Linked DNA regions of Schizosaccharomyces pombe. Changing the gene in region 2 together with the main gene of any one other region gives a genetic interaction. Each region holds a gene or a part of one and is shown on either strand. Other genes may lie near its edges.

The links.
Region 1: mutations in rad3 (region 2) and cdc20 are lethal when combined (synthetic lethality), as found in Schizosaccharomyces pombe (3 studies listed by BioGRID, with this or other methods).

What each region holds. Positions count from the first base shown.
Region 1 is NC_003423.3:3,251,996-3,259,725, forward strand, and holds the start of cdc20 (DNA polymerase epsilon catalytic subunit Pol2), read left to right. Parts: upstream 1-1,726; 5' UTR 1,727-1,893; coding exon 1,894-7,730. Other genes in the region: respiratory chain complex IV assembly protein Cox20, read right to left, coding at 608-804, 958-1,072, 1,139-1,189. UniProt on the Schizosaccharomyces pombe protein: DNA polymerase II participates in chromosomal DNA replication.
Region 2 is NC_003423.3:902,208-907,222, reverse strand, and holds the start of rad3 (ATR checkpoint kinase Rad3), read right to left. Parts: upstream 3,040-5,015; 5' UTR 2,859-3,039; coding exon 1-2,858. Other genes in the region: peptide-methionine (R)-S-oxide reductase Mxr2, read left to right, coding at 3,651-4,067; SPOM_SPBC216.03 (uncharacterized protein), read right to left, coding at 4,538-5,015. UniProt on the Schizosaccharomyces pombe protein: Serine/threonine kinase which activates checkpoint signaling upon genotoxic stresses. Involved in G2 arrest following DNA damage where it phosphorylates chk1.

The sequences.
Region 1 (7,730 bases), 2.3 Mb from region 2:
TTCTAGCCAATCGTACAAAAATTGTCGTAAAGAATACATATTTACATTCAAAAATATCACATAGCTTATTCATCCAGTTAGTAGAAATAAACCACCATAAAGGTCTTGTTACTTTTATTTTGGAAAGTTTTTAGCTGAAATCATGCGATGCCCTCGCAAGGTCGTAGACTGACTTTACGATAAAGGGGTAAACATACACGCACGAAAGATTGAGATGAGCTAGTACTTATAAAGTAAATAACGAACAAAAAGTCTACCATTGTTTAGTTAATATTGGGAAAATGTGGATGCTGTATATTTTTAAGACTTTTTTGCTGTTAATACAACGTTCAAGATACCAAGAGTATGTATTCCACCCATTGTAATGGCACCCTAAAAAGATTGAATTCTTCGAGGCAGTTAAAAATTCAACATTGGATTCTTTGGTGATAATTCACACTCTTCAATGAATACCATTTAAAAATGACAAACCATTCCGATGAACTCAAATTTAAAATATTAATTGAATAAGAGTTAATCGATCAAATGAAAAACTCAGCATACCATGCAATAGAGGGATGAAAAGAGCTTAAGAATAAGTAGAACCTAAAGAATCAAATGAATGCAATTACTCGTTAAAACCTTCATCAATTTCTTGAGCGGACCTTGAAGAGCGATGCTTCGGGGTCTTTTCTGCTGCTTCTGTAATTTTAATGTTGAAGTTATTAGTTTCAAGCTGCTTGCGGTAATTACACCCTTCCCAAGAGACGATGCTCATTCCAAAATAAGTTCCGAACCCCCAATTAGCAGCTCTAGAAATAGGTGCTTGAATATTGTTAGCATGTGTCGGCAAGAATTTAAACCGCTTATTAAACAACGGATTGAAATCACCGTTTTAAAAAGTTGGTCCGAAAATTAAAAGACATGCGATTTTTTTTGACGGACATCAATTAACCAGCATAATGTTTTTTTTCGTACCTCGAAGAAACAAATGGATGCAACCAACACCTAGACCACAGACGACACTGGTGATTAATGATTCCTTAAAACAAGGATGGTGTACCATGTGAGCAAAATCACTCATCTTCAATGACTACAAGTAGTATTAGCATTCCTTGCATTTACAACAAACTAGTCCTTTTTAAGCTATAAATTCTACCTTGAAAGCGTCAATAATCCCAGGTTTTTCGGGTTCATTTGGTGTACTCATAGTTACTGATTCGTTTAAGCTTTTTCAGTTAATGGTGGAATAGAGGTAAATATAAGGTATCAAACTGATTGAATTAAGCACTACTAAGTTTTTTTACTATGGCGGGGTCTTTAATCCTGTACTTCAGCAATCAGACAATATTTTTTTCTTTGAATTAATATAAACTTTTCCATTTATGATAGTATATTTCGCCAAAATAACCAAGCTTTGACAATTTATATCACTGAAAGCAGAAACCGCGTCACCATGCTTCTCTAAAAGAAAACTGCTTTTTTTTTTTTTTTTTTTTTCTTTAAATTCAATCCTTAAAGGAAGCAATATCGATTTGAAATAATTACTTACGGTCGAAACACACGATCATTAGGCTAATGTATACTAAATTTTGTATTTTTTTGTACTTTGTCTTTATTTTATGGCAAAAATAAATAAATTGTAATGCTTTGAACTGGAACATGATACCCAAAATAATTTGCAAGTTGTCGACGCGACGCGACTTGTTGTTTACCAATTTGTTGCCTCTTAACTCGGTATTAATCCAAACCACTATATCACATTTAAAAGGATACCTAATGTTTGTACAATAGAAGAAGTTTCTTCTTAATACTATTCCATTTATTAATTTAGAATTCTCTGGTAACAATCGGAAATTACTAAACTGTCGGTCTCTTTTTACTTTCTTTTTTTAATATTTATTTTGTATTGCTATGCCCTTAAAAACAGCTCGAGGAGCATCCAAATATCAGTTTAGGAAATTTAATGGTAACTACAATGGAAAAAGTAAATCGAACGGTAGGACGTTTGCAAAATCAACCGAGGAAGTTGGCTTCAATGATCCTATGAAAATTGTCTACAAAAAGAATGAGATTGATCGAATGATGGGTTTTGATAGCTATGAAGGTGGACAACCACGAGAAGCTTGGCTTCTCAACGTTCATCCAACAGTAATCGAAAGCACCAAAGGCAATTCTACCCTCAGTGCCGTTGACTTTTACTTCATTCAAGACGATGGTGACACTTTCCGGTGTACCATTCCATACTCTCCTTACTTCTACATTGCTGCTCGAGAAGGTAAAGAAGCTTTGGTTGACGATTATTTAAAAAAAAAATTTGTGGGCTTAATTAAATCTACTACGCGTATCTTTAAAGAAGATTTACAGCTAAAAAACCACATAGTGGGTTACCAAAAGTTGTATATAAAGTTGGTTTTTGATAACCTGAATGACCTTCAGGCTGTCAGGAAGTCTTTGATGTCTGCTGTGAAAGCTAATTCTTCCCAACAAGATGCCGTTGATGCATACACTAACTTGTCTTCGGAGAATTTAAACGGGATTATAGAAAACGCATTTGAAGATCCTTTAAATCATGTTTTAGATATCCGTGAGTACGATGTTCCGTATCATTCTCGTACACTTATTGATTTGAATATTCGAGTCGGACAATGGTATACTGTTTCATATCATGAAGGCCATGTTCAAATATCCCTTTTAGCTTCCCGAATCGAGCGTGCAGAACCTACTATAATGGCTTTTGATATTGAAACCACTAAGCTGCCATTGAAGTTTCCTGATAGCTCGTTCGATAAAATAATGATGATATCTTATATGATTGATGGCCAAGGATTTTTAATTACCAATAGAGAAATTATTTCCCAGAATATTGAAGATTTTCATTATACTCCGAGGGAGGAATTTGAGGGCCCATTTATTATTTTTAATGAGCCTGATGAAGTTGGCCTACTTCATCGATTCTTTAAACATATAAGGTCTGCAAAGCCTTCAGTAATAGTTACATACAATGGTGACTTCTTTGACTGGCCATTTGTAGACGCACGTGCTGCATTTCACGGATTGAATTTAACAGAAGAAACTGGTTTCTTCAGGGACGCAGAGGATGAATATAAGTCTTCTTATTGTAGTCATATGGATGCCTTCCGGTGGGTAAAGAGAGATAGTTATTTACCTCAAGGAAGTCAAGGTCTCAAAGCTGTCACTGTCAGTAAATTAGGTTATAATCCTATCGAACTAGATCCAGAATTGATGACTCCTTATGCAAGTGAAAAACCTCAAGTTCTTGCTCAATATTCAGTTTCAGATGCTGTTGCTACTTATTTTCTTTACATGAAATATGTGCATCCTTTCATTTTTTCTCTTTGTAACATTATCCCATTAAATCCTGATGAAGTTTTACGTAAAGGCACGGGTACGTTGTGTGAAACGCTTTTAACTGTTGAGGCTTGTACAAAAAATATTATTCTTCCGAATAAACATGTTGATGCTAGTCAAAAATTTTTCGACGGTCATTTACTTGCAAGTGAGACTTATGTTGGAGGACATGTTGAAAGTCTTGAAAGTGGTGTTTTTAGAAGCGACTTGCCGACTAATTTCAACATGGATCCAAAAGTTTATGAAGAACTAATTTTACAGTTGGACAAAGCCTTAGATTTTTCTTTAACAGTTGAAAACAACGTCAATGTTGATGAAATCGAAAATTATGAAGAGGTTAGAGACAGCATATTAAAGAAACTAAGTGACCTTCGTGATCGACCAAAAAGGTCGGAGAAGCCAAGGATTTACCATCTTGATGTCGCCTCAATGTACCCAAATATTATGATTACCAACCGGTTACAGCCAGATTCAGTAAAAGATGAATCGTTTTGTGCAACATGCGATCTTAATGTGCCCAATAAGACATGTGATCGTCGGATGGTATGGGCATGGAGAGGGGAGTATTACCCTGCTAAAAAAGGTGAATATCATATGATATATTCTGCTTTACAATCTGAGCGTTTTCCAGGCCCTACCCCTTTCTCACCTTTTAGGTCATTTCAAGAGCTTTCTCCCTCAGAACAAGCTGCTATGGTGCAAAAGCGCATTGCGGATTACAGCCGTAAAGTGTATCACCGTCTATATGATAATACCGTTATCGAAAGGGAAACTATAATTTGTCAAAAGGAAAACTCATTTTATATTGATACGGTAAAAAGCTTTAGGGATCGCCGTTATGACTTTAAAGGATTGCAAAAAAAATGGGTCAAACAACTTGCTGCTATAAAGGAAAAAGGAGGACTTGCTGAAATAGAGGAGGCCAAAAAGATGGTCGTACTCTACGATTCTTTACAGTTAGCTCACAAAGTTATTTTAAACTCTTTCTATGGATATGTCATGCGAAAAGGCTCCCGTTGGTATTCGATTGAAATGGCTGGTATCACATGTTTGACAGGCGCTACGATTATTCAGATGGCTCGTCAAATAGTTGAACGTGCAGGTAGGCCATTGGAACTTGACACAGATGGTATTTGGTGTATTCTTCCAGAATCGTTTCCTGAAAACTTTGAATTTAAAAAGAAATCCGGAGGAAAGGTTTTTATCTCTTATCCATGCGTTATGTTAAATCACCTGGTTCATGAAAAGTTCACCAATCATCAATATTCTGCCTTAAAGGACCCAGAGAAATTGGTGTATGAAACAACTAGTGAAAACAGCATTTTTTTTGAGGTTGATGGTCCTTATAGAGCTATGATTTTGCCTGCTTCAACGGAAGAAGGTAAAAACTTAAAAAAGCGTTATGCCGTTTTCAATTTCGATGGTAGTTTAGCTGAACTTAAAGGCTTTGAGGTGAAAAGAAGAGGAGAATTGAAGCTCATTAAGGATTTTCAATCTCAGATATTTAAAGTTTTTTTGAAAGGTGATTCTTTAGAGGAATGCTATCAAGAAGTTGCCTATGTTGCTGACACTTGGTTAGAGATTCTATTCACCAAAGGCTCTAACCTAACAGATGATGAATTAATTGAACTGATTTCTGAGAATCGTAGTATGTCTAAAGCTTTGTCTGAATACGGAAGCCAAAAATCGACATCCATTACTACAGCCAGGCGACTGGCTGACTTTTTGGGTGATCAAATGACCAAAGACAAAGGTCTAGCATGTCGTTTTATTATTTCCGCAAGTCCAAAAGGAAGGCCAGTTGCAGAAAGGGCAGTACCGGTAGCTATTTTCTTTGCTGAAGAATCTGTTAAGCGACATTTTCTTAGGCTCTGGTTGAAAGATAATGGTCTATATGATGTTGATATTAGAGACATTATTGATTGGGATTATTATTTGAAACGTCTAGGATCAGTAGTACAAAAACTAATTAGCATCCCTGCTGCTCTCCAAAGGATTTCAAACCCCGTTACCCGTTTTCCATTGCCGGACTGGCTTCAAAAACGAGTTGCTGTCTTGAATTCTAAATACCAACAGAAAAAGATCGATTCCATTTTCTCCTTAGCCCCTACAAATCCATCCACAATAAACAACACAAAAGTTACTGATATTGAGGATTTAGGAAGTGTGACTCACAAAGATAAGCGTATTGTCGCTCGAGTTACCAAGCGTAAACTTTTACAACAATCTGGGAACTCGGAAGCACCTGTATCTTTTGAAGTAAAACCTGTATCCTTTATGGATGGATATTCGAATTGGCTTAAGTATGCTAAGAAAAAGTGGAAATATCAGAAGCAGGTCAAGCTTCGAAGAAGACATTTAATTGGGTTTCAATCAAGGCAATTCACCAATGTTTTACAATCTTCTGCTGAAGTTATGTTTGAAAATTTATGGCATATTTTACAAATACGAGAAACCGATGTTCCTGGTATTTTACATGCTTGGGTAATTATTCGTAATCGGTTGACCTCGATACGGTTCATTGTGAATAGAAAGTTTTTTGTATGTTTCAAAGATGAGACTTTACCGAATGTTGAAATTGAGGGATGCTTAATTGAAAAAAGCAATGCGATATTACCGCATGGAAGCACTTCGGATAAGCTTTTTTTACTTGAAATTCCAGAAAAGAGCTATTTAACGGAAAAGGTATCAATTTCTATGATTTTTGCCCATCCGTCTGTTAGTGGAATATATGAGACTCGTATAGAACCAATTGAAAGATTGATATTAGAAATGGGATCCAGAAAAAGGTTTAATAATTCAGTACCTGGAGCGTTAGGTAAAGGCTTCGAATTTGGATTTGAATCTAAAATGTTCACTGACCCAAGTGATAACGATGTTTCCTATCTTGATGGAGTAGAGATGAACTACCTTTATGCATTCCATTTTTCCATTAGTAATAGGTTTGTTTTTTCACTTTTTATGCCACATTTAAAAAAAGTTGAGGCCATAATTTATGACAAACTGCCAGGTAGTGATATGTCTTTCCCATCAATCAGCAAAATTTACGAAGAGCTACGGTCGAAATTTGATAATTTAATTAAGGAAAGTAGTATCGAATACCCTGATACTCTTTCGTGTAATGTCATTTTCTCGGGAAACGAAAGGAAAGCGTACAAACTGATAGATGAAAAGTTGCTTCAATATTTTTCAACTAAAACTAAAAATAGTCTGCTTATTATTGAAAGTTCACTCCCTCACATATTGAAGGCAAATGTGAAGCAAATTGAAGAGCTTCCGTATATAATGATACCACGGCTTGAGAGCAACATACAGTCTCTTTCTTGGAAACAACACATTGCTACGAAAATGATCCAACATTTCTTAGCTATTGGTAGCTGGCTTTTCCATCGCATACAACTTTCTCGCTTCTCAGATATCCCATTATGCAACTTTGAAAGCGATGACATTCAGTACAGTATCGATGTTGTTTACTCTAGAAAGCTGAAAGAACATAATATTATCCTTTGGTGGAATAAAGGCCCAACTCCAGACTTAGGTGGTATTGAGAAGGATAGTATTCTGCAGATTGCCAGTCCCAAAGATCCACTAGAAGTTAACAATCCTGGTGCTTATTCAAATGCTTGTGTTGACATTTCTCTTTCCAACCTTGCACTTTGTAGCATTCTCAATTCTGCTCTCATAAATGACATAGAAGGTATTGGCGACATGGCAGCTTTGAATGATAATTACATGACCGCCATAAATGATGATCTGGAGGAAAAGTTGGGAATACATGATAATATTGGACTGACACATTCATTGCCGGTGTTGAAGGCGTTGGTTAAAACTTGGTGGAACGAAGCTGCATCCGGTAATAATCTCGCTGATCTTATAATTCAACATTTAGCCCGATGGATTTCTTCATCAAAATCTTATCTGTACAGTCCTTTACTCTCCTCGCACGTGGAAGTTATAATGAGAAAAACTTTTTTACAACTTCTCTCTGAGATAAAACGCCTTGGAGCACATATCATACACGCTTCTGCTAATAAAATATTAATCAAAACGAGCAAATTAATCGTCCAGAACGCTGTCACTTATTCAAATTATTTACTCAAATCCATTAAGACGTTACCACTATTTCACTTTTTGGATCTAAATGTCACGGAATACTGGGATTATCTTTTATGGATGGATTCCGTTAATTATGGAGGAAAAATGGTGGCAGCAAATTTTTCAGCTACAAATGAAGAACCACAGACAGTTGTTTCATGGCACATTAAAAGTCATTTACCTCCAATCATTCAGCCCGAATTTCAGAGTTGGATTGTTGAGTTTATTGAAGAGGTTTATAAGCAAAAATTAGAAAAGTCTAATACAAAAGTTGGGTTTGTTCG
Region 2 (5,015 bases):
GAACTATACTCGGGCTCCTTGGTTGCTAATATCAAACTGAACCAAGCTTTGATTGCATAAAACCTTAAGTGCTCATTTTGAAAAGCACTTTGTAAATTAGAAAGTATCTGTGGTAATCCAAGTTTGACTGCACCTCCACATAAAGATAACATTTTTTCAATGCCGACAATTGTCTTAATCTTTTCATTAATTGAAGTCTTTCCTTTCAGGTCGTTAAGGATATTAGAAAATTCTGCTAAGATACCCAAAATGTGATTATTAAAAAAATCATAAAGTAATTCCTTATTGCTCAAGTCTTCGTCATTAACCACTTGAGAGACAATCATTGCTACCTTTCTTAAAGCATTTTCAATTTTTTCATGAGGAACATCATTCTGATAAAGCTGTAACAACTCCACAGTAATAGAAATAGGATCAGAGCGTAACAAAGACGTTAAATCAACTTTTTCAAAATCAGAAGTGGCCAGTGAAAGAAGAAGCATCACACTCTCTTCCAAATTAGGATGATCCGTAGTAAGTAGCGAAGCAAGGATTTTATGCATATTGGTAAGGCACAAAGTAGCAACATCACTTTGTGAAAGTTCAGCTATACGTACTATTAACGCTTTGTTTTTAGTAAGTACAAGGAATGGTAAAGTGTACGCCTGTGTTCGAATAAGAAAATCGCCCTCGGAAATATTCATAAGCTGAGCAAATAAACTGGCTATGTTCGGTTTTTTACCCATACCTTGGACAATCGCAACGGACACTGTTGGCCAATATGGAGAAAGTAATTGCCAAACGGATATATGACGCGTCGAGGCAATTTGTTGCAGAGCGCTGAGACCAATGCCTTGATAAAATATTCCGCTGTTTATCACAGAAGATATAACTTCCAATAGTACAAAATGTAATTCTTCTTCTTCTACCACTCTAGATAAGGAGATCCAGGAAAGAATGACCGTTTCTAAAATAGCTGTATTTTCCACCGCCAATATTTTCAACGTATTAAAAATCAAGGCTTTACTTTCCTTGTGAAATTCAACTATATCAAGATTATTAGGTCCCTTAATGAAAATGGGCAAAACTTTTGCAGCAACAACACGTAAACATCTTGAAGTACTGGCTAATGCTTTCATAATAAATTCTCTTAAACTTAACATTGATTCTTTATTAAAGTTTGAGCAATGCTGGCTCCACCGAAAAAAGCCATCAAGCAACAATGATTGTTTAACAGAAGAGGAAATTATGTCGGGATTTTTTAGCAATGCACAAAACAATTCGTGATAAGGAATTTTAAAGAGCGACCGCTCATCAAATAGTAAACAAAATGAGTTACAAACTTCACAACCATGTACTTCATATGTGCGGAAAATACTATTTGTTTTCTCATTCACCTTTGCAACATGAGTACACAAAACTAAAGAGAAGTTCTTCAGGTCGTCCTCACTTATTGTAACATTATGAGAGCTATAATAATCTAACATTTCACGAAAGTGCTTTAAATTAGACGGTTCATCTAAGTTGTTGTTTATACACCATTTTGCAAATGTACATATGTTATGACCATTCTGGAAATCCACTTTAAGAATATTTGACAAGTCATTGTCCAAGGAAAGATAATGTAAAAGAAAAAGGTTTAATTCAGAGTTAGAAAACAACGTGTTTTCAAGTTTACCAGTACAAATTTCGCCAAAAGCACGGAGAGTTGTTTGATCTATTTCTGAACTTTGGTATCTGCACTTAAATAATATTATTGCCTTTTTGAGATCAGAATCTGGTTCAAGTTGCTCTAATACCTTGAAGTCAGAAAGTAAGGAAACCCCAAAAGGATAGAATAGACCAGCTACAGTTTTGGGTAAAACAAATAAAGAGAGAAAAAAAAGAGATATAGCAGTATTAGCAACTGTATAAGTTTTCTTCAATGATCCCAATGTTAAGTTGATGGAGGACATTAAAATATGTTTAGATTTTTCACAAATGGGAAGGCCATGATATATAAAATTCAAGGAAAAACAGCATAAAGTTTGGACTATACGTGAATGCAAATGTAGAAAGAGCTGTGAGTCTCCGATGCTGATTCGTTTTAATAAAATAACAAAATTAAAAAAACATGGCTTGATCCAAGTCCACGCTGTAAAGAGAGGTGGACTAGGAAAATTGGATTTCTTTAAATATGAGCATTGTGCAAAAAAATGGGCACTTTCAAAGAAAAATGTACAAGCCTCCTCTATATTAATGATAAGTAAATCAAATTTGTCCTCTCGATGGGTTGGATAATTTGGGGTGATACTCTGCAATGGTTGAGAATTGGGTGAGGGCATCTTGTAAGGGAATGTAGCATTAGTGATTTGGAGAACTATAGAAGAAACGTTTGTAATATAATATTTCCAATAACGCATAAACGAAGCATATAAGTCCCATAGGAATGACTTTTCACTGATTAGCTGATAAATTAGCTTATGAAACTCTTTTAATGAGTCAAATAACTTAATAAAACGAATATCAGCAAACAATGATATAGTCCTGGGTAAAATCCAATCCAAAAGAGTAACAGATGATTTAATCTCCCGCAAAACTGTCGGAGACCTTTTTAAGATTAGCATTAACGCTTGTAGAGAGAGATGGGCTTCTTTTAGCATCTTAGGAGAGATAAATTCAGATTTTGAATCATCATGTTTAAAAGCTAGAAGACCAACTTCAATTAAAACTTCAACAAGCTCGGAGGTCATAGATGGTAAAGAATTACTTCTACCTAACTCATGTTCTTTGTCTAATGCTAATACTTCTTTCAAAAGCTGTCCGAAAGCCTGTCTGTCATCTAAGCCTCTGGGTGAAAGATCGAGTGACCCAGCTTTCCTTTTTGCGTGTTGGCTCATACTATATCAAACCATTGATTCAATTCAAAAAAAGGCCTTTTTAAAACGCAACACGCGCGTTCAAAGTCTTGAGCATTTATAAAAGACGATTGTAAGTAATAAAATATCTCAATAGAATTATGCGAAAAGTGGCAATCGATTATCAAATCGATTTCCACTCACGAGGTAAAGGAAGATGCATGGTGCACTAAGTATCGAGCGATGCTAATTAACGAGCTTTTGTGATACTGAATTTTCAGAGGAAACTAACTTTTAAGTAATATTAGGCTGGATGTTTCTGATAATGATTGAATTTTTTGACTTTTGATGTGATTATAATGGTCAATAAACAAAAAAAAAAGTTATTGTTGAAAGGTAGTAGGAGAGAAAATAAGCTATTTTACGGCTAATAAAAGAAGAAATGAGTTTTAATTCAATTATTTCTTAAATAAATAATAAGAAAATATTGAAAAGATAAGTTATAATCGCACATCCTAGTTCTCATTGACTATAGCGTCAGTGGAGCGTCATACGCAGGGCATTGGTTCACTAGATCGCGGATTCTTCTGTGTTTTATACTTACTAAGCAGTTTTTACTTGGTACCTACCTATTCACATAAATAGTGGTCAAAAAGTCGTTTACTTACTTGAAAATTTTTGTAGTGCCAGTTGTGGTACATATCGTCTTGTGTTTTCATGAAAAAAGTGATTACTACACACTTTTCAATCTGTGGAAATACGAAGTTTACGAATCTTTTGAAACGTGCATATAACGTCTCCTACCCTGTCCAAAACGTCAAAAATAATACAAAGATGGGATTTCCATTGGAAAAAAGCGAAGATGAATGGAAAAAGGAGCTAGGTCCTGAGAAGTATCGAATTATGAGACAAAAGGGTACTGAGCACCCAGGTGCAGGACGATTCACTCATCAGTTCCCTAAACAGGGCGTTTTTGTTTGCGCTGCATGTAAAGAGCTTCTTTATAAAGCTAGCACAAAGTTTGAAAGCCATTGTGGATGGCCTGCGTTTTTCGATAATTTACCTGGAAAGGTGAAACGCATTGAAGACAACTCTTATGGAATGCATCGTGTAGAAGCAGTTTGTGCCAACTGTGGTGGTCATTTAGGCCATATTTTTAAAGGAGAAGGTTATTCTAATCCTACTGACGAACGCCATTGTATAAATTCGGCGAGTTTGGAATTCCATAATGAGGCAACAAATGACAATTGAACTAGATTATGCTTAATATTTCTGTATTTTCTTTATTAGATGTTAGCACCAGTTCGAATTGTTTGTGCTTGATGTACGGCTATTATTTTATTTAAAGTTGCTTGTTCACGTTTTGGTTAACTTCAATAAAATGCATTTACTTTTAACATTTTAAACTAATATATTTTGTTTTCAAAGAGTGTAGTAATCTCTAGGTCAGAAATTAGATTTACTAGCCGTATGTTATAACTAAGCTGCTTATGCCAAAGTTAATAAACGATAACACAATGTTTACACTACCTGATATGATCTTCCATTTATTTCAACTATAAAGGGTATAACTAAAGTATCCCTCACTTAAATATTTATTAATTTGCGTACGCTTCATAGGTCATTGAAAAATTTTCGTTCTTTTTTCAGAAGATTTTAAGAAAGGAGTAAAAGATGCGTGGACTACAATAATACGCGAAGGATCCGAAAATGTCATTACATTATACTGAATAAGTATAGGATGATTCTCCTTTTACGACGAATCCAGCAATGGCTTTATATATTGGCACATTTCCATCCGTCATGTCAACCACCAAATGGATGGACTGATTATCAAGAGCGAACAGTAGTACAGTACGCGCGACGTTTTCACGAGACATCATACAATTTATGGATATCTTACCCAATGCAACTTTTCCAGAACCCTTCTCGTCTGTCATACCAGAAGGACGTAAAATCGTCCAATCAATATCACTAGAGCGTCGCACTAATTCCTGATCCGCTAGGTACTTGTAATGGTAATAAGTTCCAATTGACTGATGTATTTTCTCACTTAGCTCTATATCAGCAGCCGTATAGTAAGGAGGAGGAGGTTGGCTCATATCACGATTATCTATCGCAGATATCATAATTAAGCGTCGAATACCAGCTATCCTCATAGCATCATAAACTTTTATAGCACCTTCATAATCGACGGCT